Linked DNA regions of Oreochromis niloticus. The protein of the gene in region 2 interacts with the protein of the main gene of each other region in a pairwise test. Links are inferred from orthologs where the notes say so. Each region holds a gene or a part of one and is shown on either strand. Other genes may lie near its edges.

The links. The genes of interacting proteins can lie anywhere in the genome.
Region 1: the proteins of cep19 (region 2) and calcoco1a interact in binary tests that used the Homo sapiens proteins (3 or more experiments, as listed by UniProt). The two-hybrid records come from large-scale screens. The link is inferred for Oreochromis niloticus from reciprocal best matches to the Homo sapiens genes CEP19 and CALCOCO1.

Annotation. Positions count from the first base shown.
Region 1 is NC_031984.2:19,325,673-19,333,300, forward strand, and holds the start of calcoco1a (calcium-binding and coiled-coil domain-containing protein 1), read left to right. Parts: upstream 1-4,606; 5' UTR 4,607-4,813; intron 4,814-5,910; 5' UTR 5,911-5,939; coding exon 5,940-6,071; intron 6,072-6,161; coding exon 6,162-6,264; intron 6,265-7,049; exon of another isoform or gene 7,050-7,139; intron 7,140-7,628. UniProt on the Homo sapiens protein: Functions as a coactivator for aryl hydrocarbon and nuclear receptors (NR). Recruited to promoters through its contact with the N-terminal basic helix-loop-helix-Per-Arnt-Sim (PAS) domain of transcription factors or coactivators, such as NCOA2.
Region 2 is NC_031986.2:38,135,701-38,143,649, reverse strand, and holds cep19 (centrosomal protein of 19 kDa), read left to right. Parts: upstream 1-4,906; 5' UTR 4,907-5,080; coding exon 5,081-5,210; exon of another isoform or gene 5,211-5,252; coding exon of another isoform or gene 5,253-5,269; intron 5,270-5,586; exon of another isoform or gene 5,587-5,661; coding exon of another isoform or gene 5,662-5,741; coding exon 5,742-6,088; 3' UTR 6,089-7,560; downstream 7,561-7,949. Other genes in the region: pigx (phosphatidylinositol-glycan biosynthesis class X protein), read right to left, coding at 2,758-2,895, 2,991-3,091, 3,517-3,730, 3,858-3,993, 4,085-4,172, 4,498-4,570. UniProt on the Homo sapiens protein: Required for ciliation. Recruits the RABL2B GTPase to the ciliary base to initiate ciliation.

The sequences.
Region 1 (7,628 bases), on a different chromosome or scaffold from region 2:
TTTTTGCGGTTCTCTGAAGGCTCGTAACTGGCGATCTATGAAGAGAGACGTGCCGCAGTGGGGCTTAATTTAAAACCAGAAAGGTCACTGCACCAGGAAAGGTCCTCAGCTCAGCCAAAAATATAAAATGAGGAGGAGAAAAAGAAAGCAGTGGGGGAGGAAGAGTGGGCCAAGAAAAAGAGCAAAATGAAAGGAGATTAGAGAATGCCGACAGGGAAGGGGGGAACCCAAGCAGGAGGAAACATGTTCAAATAATTTGGAAAGAGTGTCATGGAAGGAAGGACAAAAACTCTAAAGTACTGAGGAAGGAGAAAACTGAGAGGATAATGAACGGAATTGCAATTGAACTGGAACAAGTTTTTGTTTACTTTAATGGTGTTTTTGCAAGTGATTTGTTATAATTGTGCACAATTTGAGGGAAAAGTACTGCATCAACACACAGTGAAGGACTGCCAATCTGTCCAACAATCTGTGTTGGCAGAAACAACCCTCCCCAAGCCTTTGCTGAATTAGGCTCTCCATGCTTTGGACTTGACCAGAGTACTAATGGTCAGATGGGAAATTAGCTTTGGCATATGCAACTCAGCAAAAAAATAGGTGCAACTCTGAAAACCGTGTCTCCAGTTCAGTCTGTCTACGTGAGATGCTGTATCTTGATCTGGCCAAGAGATGCATGTCATGTGTTGGACTCTGCCTTGTTAACAATAATAAACCACTAAAGTGTCCCTCCCCCCAACACACAGGGCATTCCACAAACTAAGATTCTGGTCTTCAATCACTTCTTTATCTATCAGCTCACTTTAATTGTCCACTGGGTTTTTGACTGCACCACATTACATAAAAGCACAGTGGGGCCTCATGGCAGTAGCACGTCAGCCTATGATGTAAAGCCTCGCGGTTTGCACAGATAAGACGAGTTCAATTTTAATGTTGCTAGCACACCGAGACGCACCAGGCTCACTTGTAAAACAGAATGCCCCCTTCGCTTGTAAACGCAGCAGCCCAAGAGGAGGAAAGAGATGGGGGTTGGGAACACTGAGGTGGGGCTGAATTAAAACGACGAGAGGTATTCCACTTGTCCAACTCCAGCAATCCATCCAATGGATCAATTTTTTTTCTCTCTCAAATTCCCAATCCACTCACCATCCCTTTTAAAAACTAATACCCAATTCCAATCACAGCTGCAGTAAAGCATATCTTGTAAAAGGTCATAGTGTGACCTCCGAGTTCTCTAAATTGGATGCTGGTTGGCCCACTTTTCTTTGAAATACCGCACAGCCTAATATAAAAGTGCCCTGTGCACATTCACATTACCAGTGGGACCTGCATCCAGCACATCAGTAGGTGTTCACATTGATGTGAAGTGTCACAGCACAGAGAATTTTACAAGATATTGGATGTTTTTGTTGAGGGAAACGCGAACCAGAACCTAAACATAAACTACAACATGGGGGCCCAGGAATTATCTGGGATAGGTGTATCTGCGTGTGCATGTGTGCTTGCCATAGGCAACATACCGGCATATAGTGGAGCATCTCTCTGCAGCCAGCCAAGGGAACTGATCAGATGGACGATCAAACACTAATCATTCCCTCACGGCCCATACCGAGTAAAGCTGTCATTAATTTTGCGGAATTACATCAAATCTGAGACATTCTTTATGTGGCCCACGGCCTGCAGACAGTTATACGACAGGGACTGCTGCGCTAAGCAGATGGGGCAGCTTGGCCGTGCATACTAAATACCACTGTCCCCCATTTCTCTACCTCCACCCTCCCAACACTCTACCCTCCTTCTAGGCACTCTGCTTCCGCTCTTCTTTCTTTGTTTTCTACCTTGTAATGCCTTTCTTTGACTATATCTTAAAACAAGCAAACATCACTACAAAACACAGTAACTACCATTATTAAAGTCAAAACTGCCCGTATAGTTTTAAATAATACCCAGCCAGAAAAAAAAAAAATGCCGCCAACTTATATTCTCGGTTTTATTCCCACGCAAGACACGTTACCCATTAACTTAGTATGATGAGAAAATAAATTGTTTACTGACATAAATCTTTAATGTTTGTCTCTTGGATCTTGACAACTCTAACAATTTGCTTGGCTATACACAACAGAAGGTCATAATCCCATTTGAGGTTTCCTTGGCAACTGATTACTGCTGAAGGCTAGTTGCAATTTATGACTAGTGACACATACCTGCCATTCCCTTTGAATGAGACATGTGGTAAGCTATATTCAGACAAACCACCTCAGGTAATAAAACTGCAGTAGCACTCAGGGGCTATACCATTTTCTAGCATTGAGAGAAATTCCAAGCCAAGCTGCTAGAAATCAGCAGATGACAGGGATTAAATTTGTGTGGAGTACTTCCACAACAGATAAATAAACAACATGTTGAAAGTTTTGTGCCAGAACACTATTTTTTCCCCCAACCTAACGCCTCGAAGTGTGAATGTTAGCTATCTCCTTCCAAAAAACAAAAAAGAGCTGTAAATTCACACGGTCAGCATAACTGCATGTGTGCGCAAGTTTGCAGGGTAGAGGTGGGATGTTATGATAGGCAGAGGAGCCATAACAGCAGGCAGCCAGGTCAAGATCAAGCAGTTTCATGGACAATCCACTTTAAGTCTAGTCTCTATTATGGTGAAGCCTTCACATTCCTACTGCACAACCGTCTTCTAATTTTACACAACAATGACGCTTCAAAGTCAAGGCTATGTGAAATCAGACACAACACTATCATAAAATAAAGTAAAATAAAATAAAATAAAATAAAATAAAATAAAATAAAATAAAATAAAATAAAAAATACAGTGGCACAAAGCCAGTAGAAATAAGCATATAGGATTAATTCATAAACAATACTTATGCTAGTATTTTTGGTATATCTGATTTTTCTGTGTTCCAGGGAACTCGTGATTTTAAAAAATGGCAAAAGCAAGACATCCACACTGAATTATGTTGATGAATACAACAGAAGAAATCTTTTTTTTAAATAATACCTAAGCCTAAAGACGCATGTAAACAGTGGCTACTGAATAAGCCAGTCATCACAGTAGAACCTATTTAATTATCCCACTGTGAGAGCGAGCCACTATTTCCATCACCACTTTGCTCACACAGGCTCAGCACACTATTAATCCACTTAAACACAATTTATAGGGTCTCAGCATTGACTGTCCGTCGGCATAAAATTACATGAAGCATCCTTATAGTGTCGTCAACAGACTAAATTAGCCAAACTGGACTTACTAATTGAGGAGGAGTAAAGTATTGTGTGACTGGAGTGTCTCATCAATGAGCAGAGATAAATAGGCTGGCTATGGGCAATGAGGTAACATCAATAACTATAATAATACAGGCTGAGCATTATTTAACTTGTGGTTGTGGAGGACTAATAACCTTTAATAGAGAATGCTAACTTTTAATTTCCATTTCTGTTAAATAGGTTTTTGTTATTGATGGCTTTTTGCAGTTAAAGACTTCTTTGCCATTTTAACTCTAATTTAAATTTAAATCATTTAATATAATCAGTTCAACTAAAACCAGTATTTTAATGTTTTTTTTAATTAAAAATATCAAAATAACACATTGTGAACCCAGATAGACAATACTACTACTGTAGCCTTGAGACATATCTGCACAGCCATATTTGCATTTCTCTTCTGATATATCTGCAAAATGAAATCTATGAATTAAGGCAAAGCTAGAGATGGTGAACCCAGGCTTTGTTTTTAAAATTTGCAGCATAGAGAGACAGTGTATCCCCCTTTATCTTGTATCTAATAGTGAAAGGACAAAAAGGCTGTGATATATTTTCATTGTGGGCTTAAAAGACCGCACTGTCTGCTTAGACTTGCATGTTTAATTTTGGTTTTCAAGATGGTATACTGCCATCTGCTGCCCGGCACTGTAACCTCGTCATGCGCTCTATTTGTCCTCATGTTTGAAGACGTTGTGGGATATCAGGCTTATCCTAAAGAAATTGCCAAATTGGGGCGCTTCCAAAATGCAGGATCACTGGATTATTTTGGAAAATGTTTTTGGCTAAAATCCGAATTCCCCTCCATTAAATCTGGAACGTGGGCTGACGTCAGAGGATCTGCTGTGGTTCCTGATTTACCTCATCAAAGTACAGATGATACATGAAGTGGAAAAGGCTCCCGTGGGACACTGATTTAAAACTAAAATAAATAGGCAAAAACTATACAACCTGTAATACTTTACCATCAAATTAAATAACCGTCATATTGCGAAGTCTACCAACTGTATGGAAAATAATGCGCAGATTTGTTTACAGCGCAATATAGCAAATATTTATGAACTCGAACAATCACTACACATAAAAACATCCGTTTTCATTATTACATCCGCTACGTGTGTCTTCCTCTCATCGCAAATAACACACACTCTTTCCATTGGTGAATGAGCAGGACAGCCGCGGTTTGGCAGATATCCGATGCGAAAAACAACGGCGGCCGATGAGACGCGTCAGATTACATTCAGCGGATCTGTTAGTCTACTGTGACCCTGGGGGTTGTAGTTTAAAAAGGGGTATCTCGGCGTAGTTTCAGCTACGTTGTGAACAACAGCTCCCATAATTCCACGGTGCAGAAGAAGCTGTCGTGCTTGTGTTTTGCTTTGGCTTTTTTGTTGTTATTTCGCGTTGTTGGTCCAGCTGAGCTCCGTGAGGAAAGCGAGTCTGCATCGGCCGTGTTTTTTCGTGGGTTTCTTGAGGACTGTCAGTCCAGTACCTCGCACATAGAGGGCTCCTTTAGATCGTCTGCAGAGGGCTGAGGACCGTAAAGGTAACAAAGACATCAGAAACGGGTCGAGATAATGTGCGCAGATCTCTTTTGGTAGTTAACAAAGCCCTGCATTGTCTCTTATTATTTGCATTCCCATCAAATTAACAAATATAACTAACGTGCACGGATTCAGGTCTTTCCGTAGTGGCTGTGATTGTTTGTTTGTCATCTTAAAGCTTTCATCGACGGGCATGACACACTGTTTTCTTGACATGTGCTACTGTTGGGCCTTAAGCCTCGTGCCATGTAAAACGAGTCCACGGAAAAGCTATTTTGATCACTGGTGCATTGTTTTACGCACTGTCTGTATTTTATCTTGTCCGTATTTACATGAGAAACTATTCGTACCTTATGTAGGTTTTGGGTGTTTCACAAAAAATAGAAAACTTTTATCATCTGTGATTATTGACTGTACCACAGGGGATAAATACAAAGTACAGAAGAGTCAAAGTTAATCCAAGTTTAAAGAACATGCTTGTTGTAAATCCTCATTGGGTTTATTGTGCGCTTGCTTTATTTTTGTTCCTTTTGAAAATCTCATCATACTTGTCTCTACTGCTCTATTAAAATGTATATTTACCATGTGTTTCACCTTGTTTGTGTAACAGTGTACCATCACATCATAAATGTTGCCTATACCATAGTTATTACGCCACACACAAAAATAATGCTTTCTGTAGGCAAGCAGTGTGGTTAACTGCAGGGATACCACAAGTTCGTGGGAAGTAACCACTAGTGGAATCTGAGCCCATATACTGCATGCCTACACGTGACGCTGTATAATAGCAAATGATTTTGAAGATGACTGAAATAGCCCCCGGTGACAACCTGTGTAACGTGTCGTGTTGCCTGAAGACCATGCTGTCACTGAGGATTAGTTCTGCATCGGTGCTGTTTCCTTAAGTGTGCACTCAGTCTAGATCTTACACTGAACAAAAATATTCACACACTTGGGGCCTCTTGTTTGTTCAGCAGTGACCACCTCTTACCTATATCCCAGAAATAGCTGTGTAATGTAATGTGTAATGTAACTGTGCATGTTGGTTTGTAGGTTGATTTTGGGTTTGTTTTTTTTTTCCTTCTTTTCTTTCTTGTAGGTGCAATAGAGCATTTGTTTTGTGTTGCCATGGATAAGGATTGGCAGGTGGAGTTTAGAAACGTGGGCTGCAGCTACTTTCCTGAGAGCAGAGTCGACTGCCACTACACGCTGAGCTCACGGCACATATGGGCCAGTAATGATTGGATAGGGCTCTTCAAGGTATTGCTATTCTGATGAATTTCTCGAAAAGCAACTAAATAAATAATATCCAACTTAAAGTTAACACTGTGCACACATTTTCTTCTTCAGGAGGGATGGACATCAGTAAAGGACTACCACACCTTTGTATGGGCGCTAGCCCCGGCTGACTACCAAGAGGGCACAGATGTCAACTGCTGTGTTCAGTTTCAGGGTATTCATACATTTGTTTTCTAACTGTGTTTACTTCCCATAGTCACACAGGATCTGTACTAGATCAGCACATAAAACCTTCAGCAGGAGATTGATGCCTCTGTAAAATGAATTGCTCTGTTATTTACAAAATGCTAGCGAATCACATACTGAGTGGAAGCAAATGTTTATTTCTATCTTAAAATAATTCTTCAGCAGAAAAAAGGGGGAAAAATCCTGTGCACAAGACAAATATCTAACTTAGCTTGGTTTCTAACAGAGACACTCTCTGTCATGGTTTGAATTCATTTCTTTAGTAAGCAGGAGGTTGAGTAATGAGGATGACAAAGACAATGGCCCAAAGGCTGCTCTGCTGACTGCTGCTGCTCACTGGAGAATACAGTGTTCACTTTGTCCTGTGTGTCAGGGGCAGCTGATAAGCCTGATTGAGGGTGAGGGGCACGTGTACAGCAGGTGTGGCATTGACCCCTGGTAAAGTGATTTATCGCTAACTTAAACATACTGTCAATGTCATTCTTCAGTACAGAGAAAGGAAACTAAAGAAAGTACTGATGGTTCCTTATCAGCAGCAATGCAGTGATTTAAAAAGAAGGTCGCCTCTTCTGTGACCTTAGCCGGTGCTCGAAGTTGAAATACAGCTCATAAACTTTACCGTATGTCATTCCCTCTGTCTGTTTTCTATCTTGGCCCTTTACTGTAGCTGTATTGTGAAACAGTAATTCTAAGTAAATCACTCCAAACATGAAGCAATGGTCTGTGTGAGATAATGATATTAGATCAGCTTACTTTATAGGCTGGAAGGAGTCACAGACTAAGGCTGACTGCTTTGTGGTCAGTGTGGGAGGCAGGAGGTGTATCCTCATCAGTTCCAGTATGCTTGGTTAAAGGTGCATGAAAAGGAAACAGAATCAGGAGTTTGGTGATAGTGAAAGTCTTAAAGTTATGCAAGTAGCACAGCTGGTCTGAAAAGCAGTTATTTTGCTCTCAAAATTTGTAAGCCTTCAACTTTATGAGAGACATTCTTATGCCAAACAGTGATTGCTGATGTGTTTTTATGACTAATATCTTTGCTTATATTGGTAGATAGGCTGTAGTCAACAGGATTTATGAAGTGGTTACGTACAAAATAAAGAAATGACCTGTTCTGCAAGTGTCTTTTAACTCAGCATTATCGTACCCACTCTGTGCTCTACATTTTAATCAATCCAGTCCTTTTGGGCCACTTAAAATATCTTTATAGATCTGTTATGTTATATTTGTTGCAATTTCTCCTGCCCTCTTGGCCAGCTCTCTTTTGAAGAAGACATTTTTACTGTCAACGATAGTTTTTACATCGATTCATAAAGGATATATAAAAGTCACTTT
Region 2 (7,949 bases):
ATTCAATAAAATGTTTCAAATGAATGGTGGGTGAAGACAGTCAGCTATCTTAAGCAAAGAAAAAAAAGAAAAGAAAAATCAGAGCCCGTGTGCAAAACCACACGGATCATAATGTGCAATAACACGTTTTTAAGCATTAAGAATAATAAAAATGTGAAACATGCTGAAACTTATTAAAGTGGAAGTTTCATTAGGTTTTAGGTAATGTAGTTCAGCATTTACAGACGTAATTTTCCAGCTGCAGAGCAATTATTTTGTTAATTATAACTATAATGTGGGAGGTTTCTCTCACTAATCTGACATTAATGTAACGTTTGTTTATTTTCCTGCCCTAGGAAATTTTAAATGGCCTAATTTTGAAAGCTTAATTTTATACTCAGATTTTTACAGCGTAAATGAAAGAAGAAGAAAAAAAGCCAATAACATACTAGCCAGTGTACTTTCTATACACACATCGTTGTTCATCACGCTGTGAGAAACAACAGAAAAATGTATAGACTTATGTTAAGTCACAAAGACTCATTCCAAATGAGGGCAAAATTTTTATAGCAACAACAAAAAATGCCTATTTTGAGGGAGGAAAAGCAATATAGACATATAATATGTTAGTTATATTAAAAAAAGGGAAGATAATAGGTTAACTACTTATTAGTTTTCCTGCAGTATAGTTCATAAACTAGTAAGAACTTATAAAGGTTCTTTAGCTTCCTTTAGGGGTTGCCACAGTGGGTCATCTGCCTCCATCTCACCTTATCCCAACATCTTCCTCAATTTTGTGATTGTGCACTTCCTGGTTCTTTCTAATGAAAATCTAAACATGTTCAACTCCGCCACCGCCAGGTTGGCCTCCTGAGTCTTTATCAGTGCCATCTCATCTCAGGTCTCTCTACCATCATGTAAACCTTCACTTTCACTCTGCTGCTATCCTTCAGTCACAAATCACCCCTGACACTCATCACCACCAACTCCAACAGATACAATTGACTTTATAACAAAAAATTTCTATATTTTGTGCATATAGTTATCAACTGAAGTTAAAATAGGGCTAGATTGTACTTTTCTGTATTAACAGTTTGTTCCACAAGATGGTGTAGAAAGTCAACATGAGAGGAAGAGGAAATATGGAGAAGCAGAGGAAGCACCTGGAAAGTAACCGTTATCAGCAGCAGCAGCATCACCTCCCAAAGGGAAATCAAGTAAAAGAAGAGTAAACATAAGTGCAGCTTTCCACTGCTGGAGACAGCTCATTGAAAATACAGGAGTTAATGAGCATGCTGAGTATATTACTGGTATGATAAAAGCTCTTGGTGCTAATTTTCCCAGTCAAAAATAGCGATCAAGCAAGATATCTAATGCTATTTGCAGTGGGTGTGCTCTTATTGATATGTAATTTAGACAAAAGACAGTTGTGTCACTGTATGTGATCATCTCAGGTAGAGAGTATATCCAGATCTTTACTGGGGGATCTCAGGTACATTTTCTTACTACAGGAGCTGGTACTGCCCCCGGTGGTGAAAGTTCTAGTTAAAACGTCACAGCCCATTGTTCCTTCTGTGGGCTGGTTTCAGTCATTATGCAAATGTCCTGTTTATAAGGTTTGGGGAAACCTGCAGTCAGCTGAGACTGAAGAAGTCACTTGGATGAGTGACGAAACGTTTCTCCCACAAAACGCTACGTCCAGATGAACAGATTCAACTTTTGGAGAAAGTTCTAGTTACATTTTACAGAGGATGATTTCAAAAACACTTCTACTGTTGACACTATGTGACTATGCACCTCTCTTTGCTCACTGGTGATCCATAATATGCTGCAGACTTAAATCTTTTTAACAAACTATGTGATTATACAATTTCTAAATTGCCCTAAGCATTTTCTCTGCAAAACAAGAAAAAAATTTGACTGGCTCTTCATTGACTGCATTGTGTGAAGGCGTTTCCATGTTGAAATAGGTTGTGTAGTGCCACATGCACTACCCAACAGGGTCAAGAACATACAACTACAAATGGAGCCTTTTAGGAGACCAAAACTGGATAACAGATGCAATAAGACAAGACAGATAAGCTGGAAGAATAAAAAACTTGTTTTGTCCTGACAGCATGCATGGCAGCACAGTTTGTCACTCATAAATCAAACGTCCAAACATTGGCACAGTATGACACCCGGTACTCTGTCTCAAATGGATATGACCTTTACCTCATCATGGCATTCTTTAAACTGCCACAAGAAAAGAATACTATTAACATTGTTGTTATATTGTATTTATAGCAGTCTGAACTGTATACATTTTATTCAGTGTTAAAATACAGATTATACTACTGTAGACTCCAGTTTTATAATCGTGTTATTATAATAGCCCATGTTATAGACAAAAATAAATGAAAATCACTACCAAATACCCCAAAACAGTACAAACTAATAGATTTTTATGTTCCTTAATTAGGTGCGCTAAACTGAACAGATAAAGAATCATGATCCTCCCAAAATGAGGTCATAGCAGGAAAAATGCTTGCACAGGTTGCGGGATTCACCAAAATAAACATAGTTACATTGGCTGGAATGGAAAAAGATAAATTCTGATATCTTTCAGCATTTATCTGTTGTTTCAGCAATATCTCAGTATTCTTTCCCATCTCAATTAGTCCTGTTCTCTGCTTGCAACATTTCTGCAGATAAGATAACAACACTGAAAGTGCCTCTTCCTTGTTAGTTTGATAAAAAAAAACAACAACAACATAATGCCAGTACAATTTTTGCTCTTTAAATTATTTGATGTTTCCACATGTATTTGGACAGTGCCACACAGCAGATCATTGTGACAAGAAGAGTCCCTCCGCATACGTGTGCCACCAAAGACCCATCACCCACTGGGAGCTGGAAACTCACTGGATTGAGATCCTATAAGGCAAAAAGGGAAACAATTGAATGATTGAGTTTTGTTTTTTTAAATCACCTTTTCACTCAAGATTTGGTGAAATATTGTACACAATCACCTGCTGAGGCTTGACTTTAACCCAAGAACAAGTGCTTGAATTGCTGGCAGTGCATGGTGCATCCACAACTGTGTGAGGCTCTAAGCTGCTAAGCTGTGCACCTGGATAAGAGAAATAGTTTTAGAAGAAAGTGTTTCAGAAAGCCAAACTGAAAAGTCACATTTTTTAAGTCACATTTTTGTTTTTATACTATAAAGTTTTGATCATTAAAGTTATTATATGTATGCAACCTATCCACAACCACAAAACTGAAATAATTTGGTAATATTCATTGACACTCCACTTTCATAGAAAACAGATACAAATTTAGGATTTTACGCTCCGACATCATTTAGTTTAATTATGCAGTCACGTAAAATTATATTGCAAACAGTAAGGTTGATTTAATGTATTTCGTTAATTTGTTTCATTACACATCATGACACAACATTGCATTTTAAATACCACATTTGGTTTACATTGTTTTCTTTCTGTATAGATTTACATAGTGTCAGAAATTGCTATAAAATAAAATGAATCCACTTACATTTTTCTGTCCGCAGCAGCAGCTCTGGAGCTTCTATGTCAACAGATTTAAACATTTTTCCATCAAATGAGGGCTTGTGGTAGCGACCATGTATTGGAATTGTTACTTTGAATAACTTGGAAGTTGGTCCAGTGGAGAAAGGATACACATAGGTGACAAATCCTGAAGCTTCGTGAGCAGGAACCTCAAGGTCAATGGGTGAATCTAGTAATATCTTACAAAGTTTAACACAGAAATAATTAAATAAAACATATACACTGTGCACATGTTTTGTACATGACTGTGGTTTGTAGTAGAATTTTACACTGCGTTATACTACATCTAGTTGCTCGGTGTCTTACCTTCCACTTGTTTTGATCGCTAAGGGATGCAAGTTGATATGGATCAACATAGACATCTCTGGGCCATCTATGAATCAGCAAAACTTTGACACCACAGAGCTCTTTGGATCTGAACTCAACTGTAGTTGTCACCTCCCTAAAACATATTAGAAAATATCATTGATTCTCCTGACAAGTAGCCCCAAAGGCAGAACAGCTTTCTTTTGAGAAAACAAACAACCGAATACCTGTGGAAACCCTTTTTGTTGAGCTCCACTGTCACTGATGAGGGCGCAAGCCACTGCCTCAGAAGATCACAGTGATTCTGAATCTCATCTGCACAAATTAGCAGGTTACACTGATCAGTATCTCCAGGTAAAAGCTTTTTGAATTTGAACATGTATCTATATTTTTGGAAAATCGCAGGATGGGATTAAAGATGCATTTGTTTTTCAAACTATGCTAGATTATATATGTCATGTTATCCATACAGGGGTATATTTACAGCACTTTTTTGTCTACTGTAAAAATACTATTCCTTCCCTCAAACAAAAAAACCAAAAAAAACCCCCAACAACTTAATTTAAATGACCTTCAATCAATAATAATGAGAGCTTATTGAATGACTATCGAGTTTTCACATAGAACCTAGCTCACGTACCCTTTTCACCCAAACAGTGACATTTCGAGAATAAGCTCAACGCAGAAACAACACAGAACAGTTTAAAATACATTAAAAATATAATGGCCAACGCTGAGACGCGTTTATAGGCTGTTTATTTAACTCAAGCACAGCTACCACCGCTTAAGCGCTTCTTTGAAGTGTTTACGGAAGATGATTTTTTGAAGGCCCCTTTTGTAGTTTCAGGGAGCCTGCAAATGTGCCTGTGTAGAGATTGAAAAACACAAGCTTTTAAGGAAACATTTAGTAACATTTATAGACATAGAAAGCAGTTTTCAGGAATAAAATGAATAATAATGATACGTGAAAGTTAAATGATTTTATATTAATTTTTTAAATCCGAAATTTAGCGTCAGGCATCCCAACAAACAGAAGCGTCTTTACGTAAAGGCTCTGCTGGCAACCTGGCAACGCGTAATCATCCCTGAAGCCGCTGCTCGATTTTTTTTTATTCATACTGTGCGCTAGTAGCAATAATTATGGCTGCGATGTTTCTGTTTTAAACATGTTTAAATTGATGGTCGGATTGGGTTAAGTTTGTTTGTTGTAATAGAAGTACAGGATGCGTTTTGCGGCAAAGCGCTGCGGGGTGCAGTTCAGCCCTCCATCCATAGTTTTAATTTATGAGCACACGGAAACCAAAAAGGTGCGAAAAAGAATAATACCTGTGCGAAATTTCTCCAAATACTCCGGTAAGGCACCACGGACACATTGGGACTCGTTCTCTGTGCTCCATGTCACATGTTACAAGGTAGCTACAATCAGTGTGAGAATATTATTTTAGCCTCGTTTGCTGTATATTAATAATTATATAATACTCTAGTAAATCTAACAAATCTGTCAGAGTCATGAGGCCCTGAAGTTTTGATTTCTATATCTCGTGGATAGCAGCAGGTGGATTACCTGCAAGCTGCTGAGCCTCAGGCTCCTATTTCTGACTAAAATAGGAGCATCTTACTTTGTTTAACTAAGGTCATTGCTAGTGAGTGTTAATAATAAATAACTAATATGTAATACATGGAAACATACATTTATCGTTCTGCGTTTTTTCCTTCCTGTTTTTGTTAGTCCATTTTTTGAGACATAGGTACTGTGATCAGAGCTGGAGTCGTGAATGCACACTGCATTAACATATGTATGTAGCTTATTTTGTTCTTGTAGATTGCCACGAAGTAGCTGGGCAGGACTACAACCATCCTATTACCTCATGCCGTCTCTTCCAGACTACAGCATGGCTGCTGAAAGGCTGAAGAACAACCCTCGACACAGGGACTACCTGGAGGGTGTCTCTCAGAGCCAGCTTGAGAAGCTTCACATTATCCTACGCGATCACATGCAGGGCTTCAGTCTGGAGCACAGCCTCTCCTCGTTCTGTCTGGACCCTGACGAAGACCTGAACAAACTGGACGATGAGGAGCTGGCACGCAAGAAAGGCCAAATGGACGAACTGTTTGAGAAAAACCGGAGGCACAAAGATGATCCTGACTTTGTTTACAACTTGGAAGTTGATTTCACTAAGACCACCTTAGAAAAGTGCAGCTGGGATGAAGAATCAGATGATGGATTTTAAAACTCTCTCTTCATCAATGTTTTAATTAAGAATGTAGATGTAAATCTATAGTGAGACTGCAGGAACATACAACCCAACTGTTGTAGATGGCAATGCTTCAATAAACGTCAATATAGTAGAAACACTATGCCTTTAATGACAAAAAAACCACCATGAACCTCCCTTAATGGCAAGCAAAGACCAAAGCCTGTTAATCAAGGGAAACTAGAGCTATGATTTTGTGTCTGTGTACCATAGCATTAATCTGTAAAAAACAAAACAAAAATAAAATAAAGGCATAAATGGTCATTAGGTAAGGTAACAATAGTAACTGTTACTATTGGTTTGATCCAGTTAGTCATAATTTATTTCACTTGAATGCTTCTTGATAGACAAAGTTAGGATATTTCTGGAATCCTGTAGTAAGTTATTTTTATTATATTTTTTAAAGACAGACCATTTCTTCAGCTGTAGCCTCATGGGCACTAAAATATATCTTAAAAAACAAGACTGTTTACTTATGGATTTTAAAGTCATAGCCTGGTCCAGTAATACGTTAGGTGATTTACAGATGTCAAGTTTCAAATCTGACACTTTTTAGAGGTGACTTCAATGCTGTCAGCAGAAATGTTGATTGTGCACGAGCTCTTAGTCACAACCAATAGAGATATTAAATTTACAACATCCAGTGACTGCAGTCTCTAACACTGATGACATAAAAGCACCTGTTTTAAGGCAAATTACTACACCCGAGATACTGTTACCCAAGTAACTAACCCATAGTTTAAGTTCGTTAAGCGTTTCCCTCAGGTAAGGGTTAATAAACTCCATTTTCATTAACTTGCTTTCGGGAACAGGCCTCCAGCAACACCTAAACTTCAGTCATGAAATGAAACAGGCACAGAGTCTAGAGGAACATTTCTAAATCAGGGGAAACAAAACCAAACAATGTTTGAGAACAACCTGATAATATAATGATAACAAACATAAAATTCCGTTTTAAGGTGCAATAAACAAAATTATGCATGGATAATAGTGAATCTTTATTTGTTATAAAATACTGAATTTTACAAAATACAAAGACTTTGGTTCTTTTATTTGTGGCTTACACCTAGATGAGTGATATTCACAGTTGAATATGAAAAGAAGATTCTAAAATCCTATTAAATAAAATCTGAGTGTACACCAGGAAGTAAGCAATACAACAAATATATCTTTGGGAAAAAAAAAATGTGTCCACAAAATAGTTTTATATCATACAAAATATATATACTTCCATATATATGGTTTGACATGATGTTCTATGGCAAAAGTTTTAAAAGAGATAAACTATATCATAAAACTAAGCCTGCATTATCAAACCTTTTAAGGGGAAAATGTCATTCAAAGTGCTTAAATACCTCATTCAGTTGACAATAGACACTGACTGACTGACTGACCATTAGTACCACAATACATTCAAAGATGTCGCAGGTTTTTGTTAAAATGCAATACAGAATGATTTTACATTGCTTTGCTAGTTTGGTTTAAGCTAATCAAAACAGTTTTTTACATTGTTATCAATTGCAGTCATTTTTGCAGTGCCGATGTATTCCCTAAGGAGGTAGTAACAAAAAAAAAAAAAACCTGACAATTCCTTTTCCCATCACCATTTACACATGGATTTGGGCAACTGAATTGTAAATTCTCAGCAGGCTGTTAATTTATTTAAAAGTCATTTATAAAACTGATATTTCAAGTATGCTTAAGACACAATCCGGGTTTTTGAGTTTCTTTTTACACACACACGCGCGCGCCTGACACACACACTCTCACACACAAAGCAAATGACTTAAGAGGAACAACTTTCTGAATGACAATTTGTGAAACTACACCCAGAAGA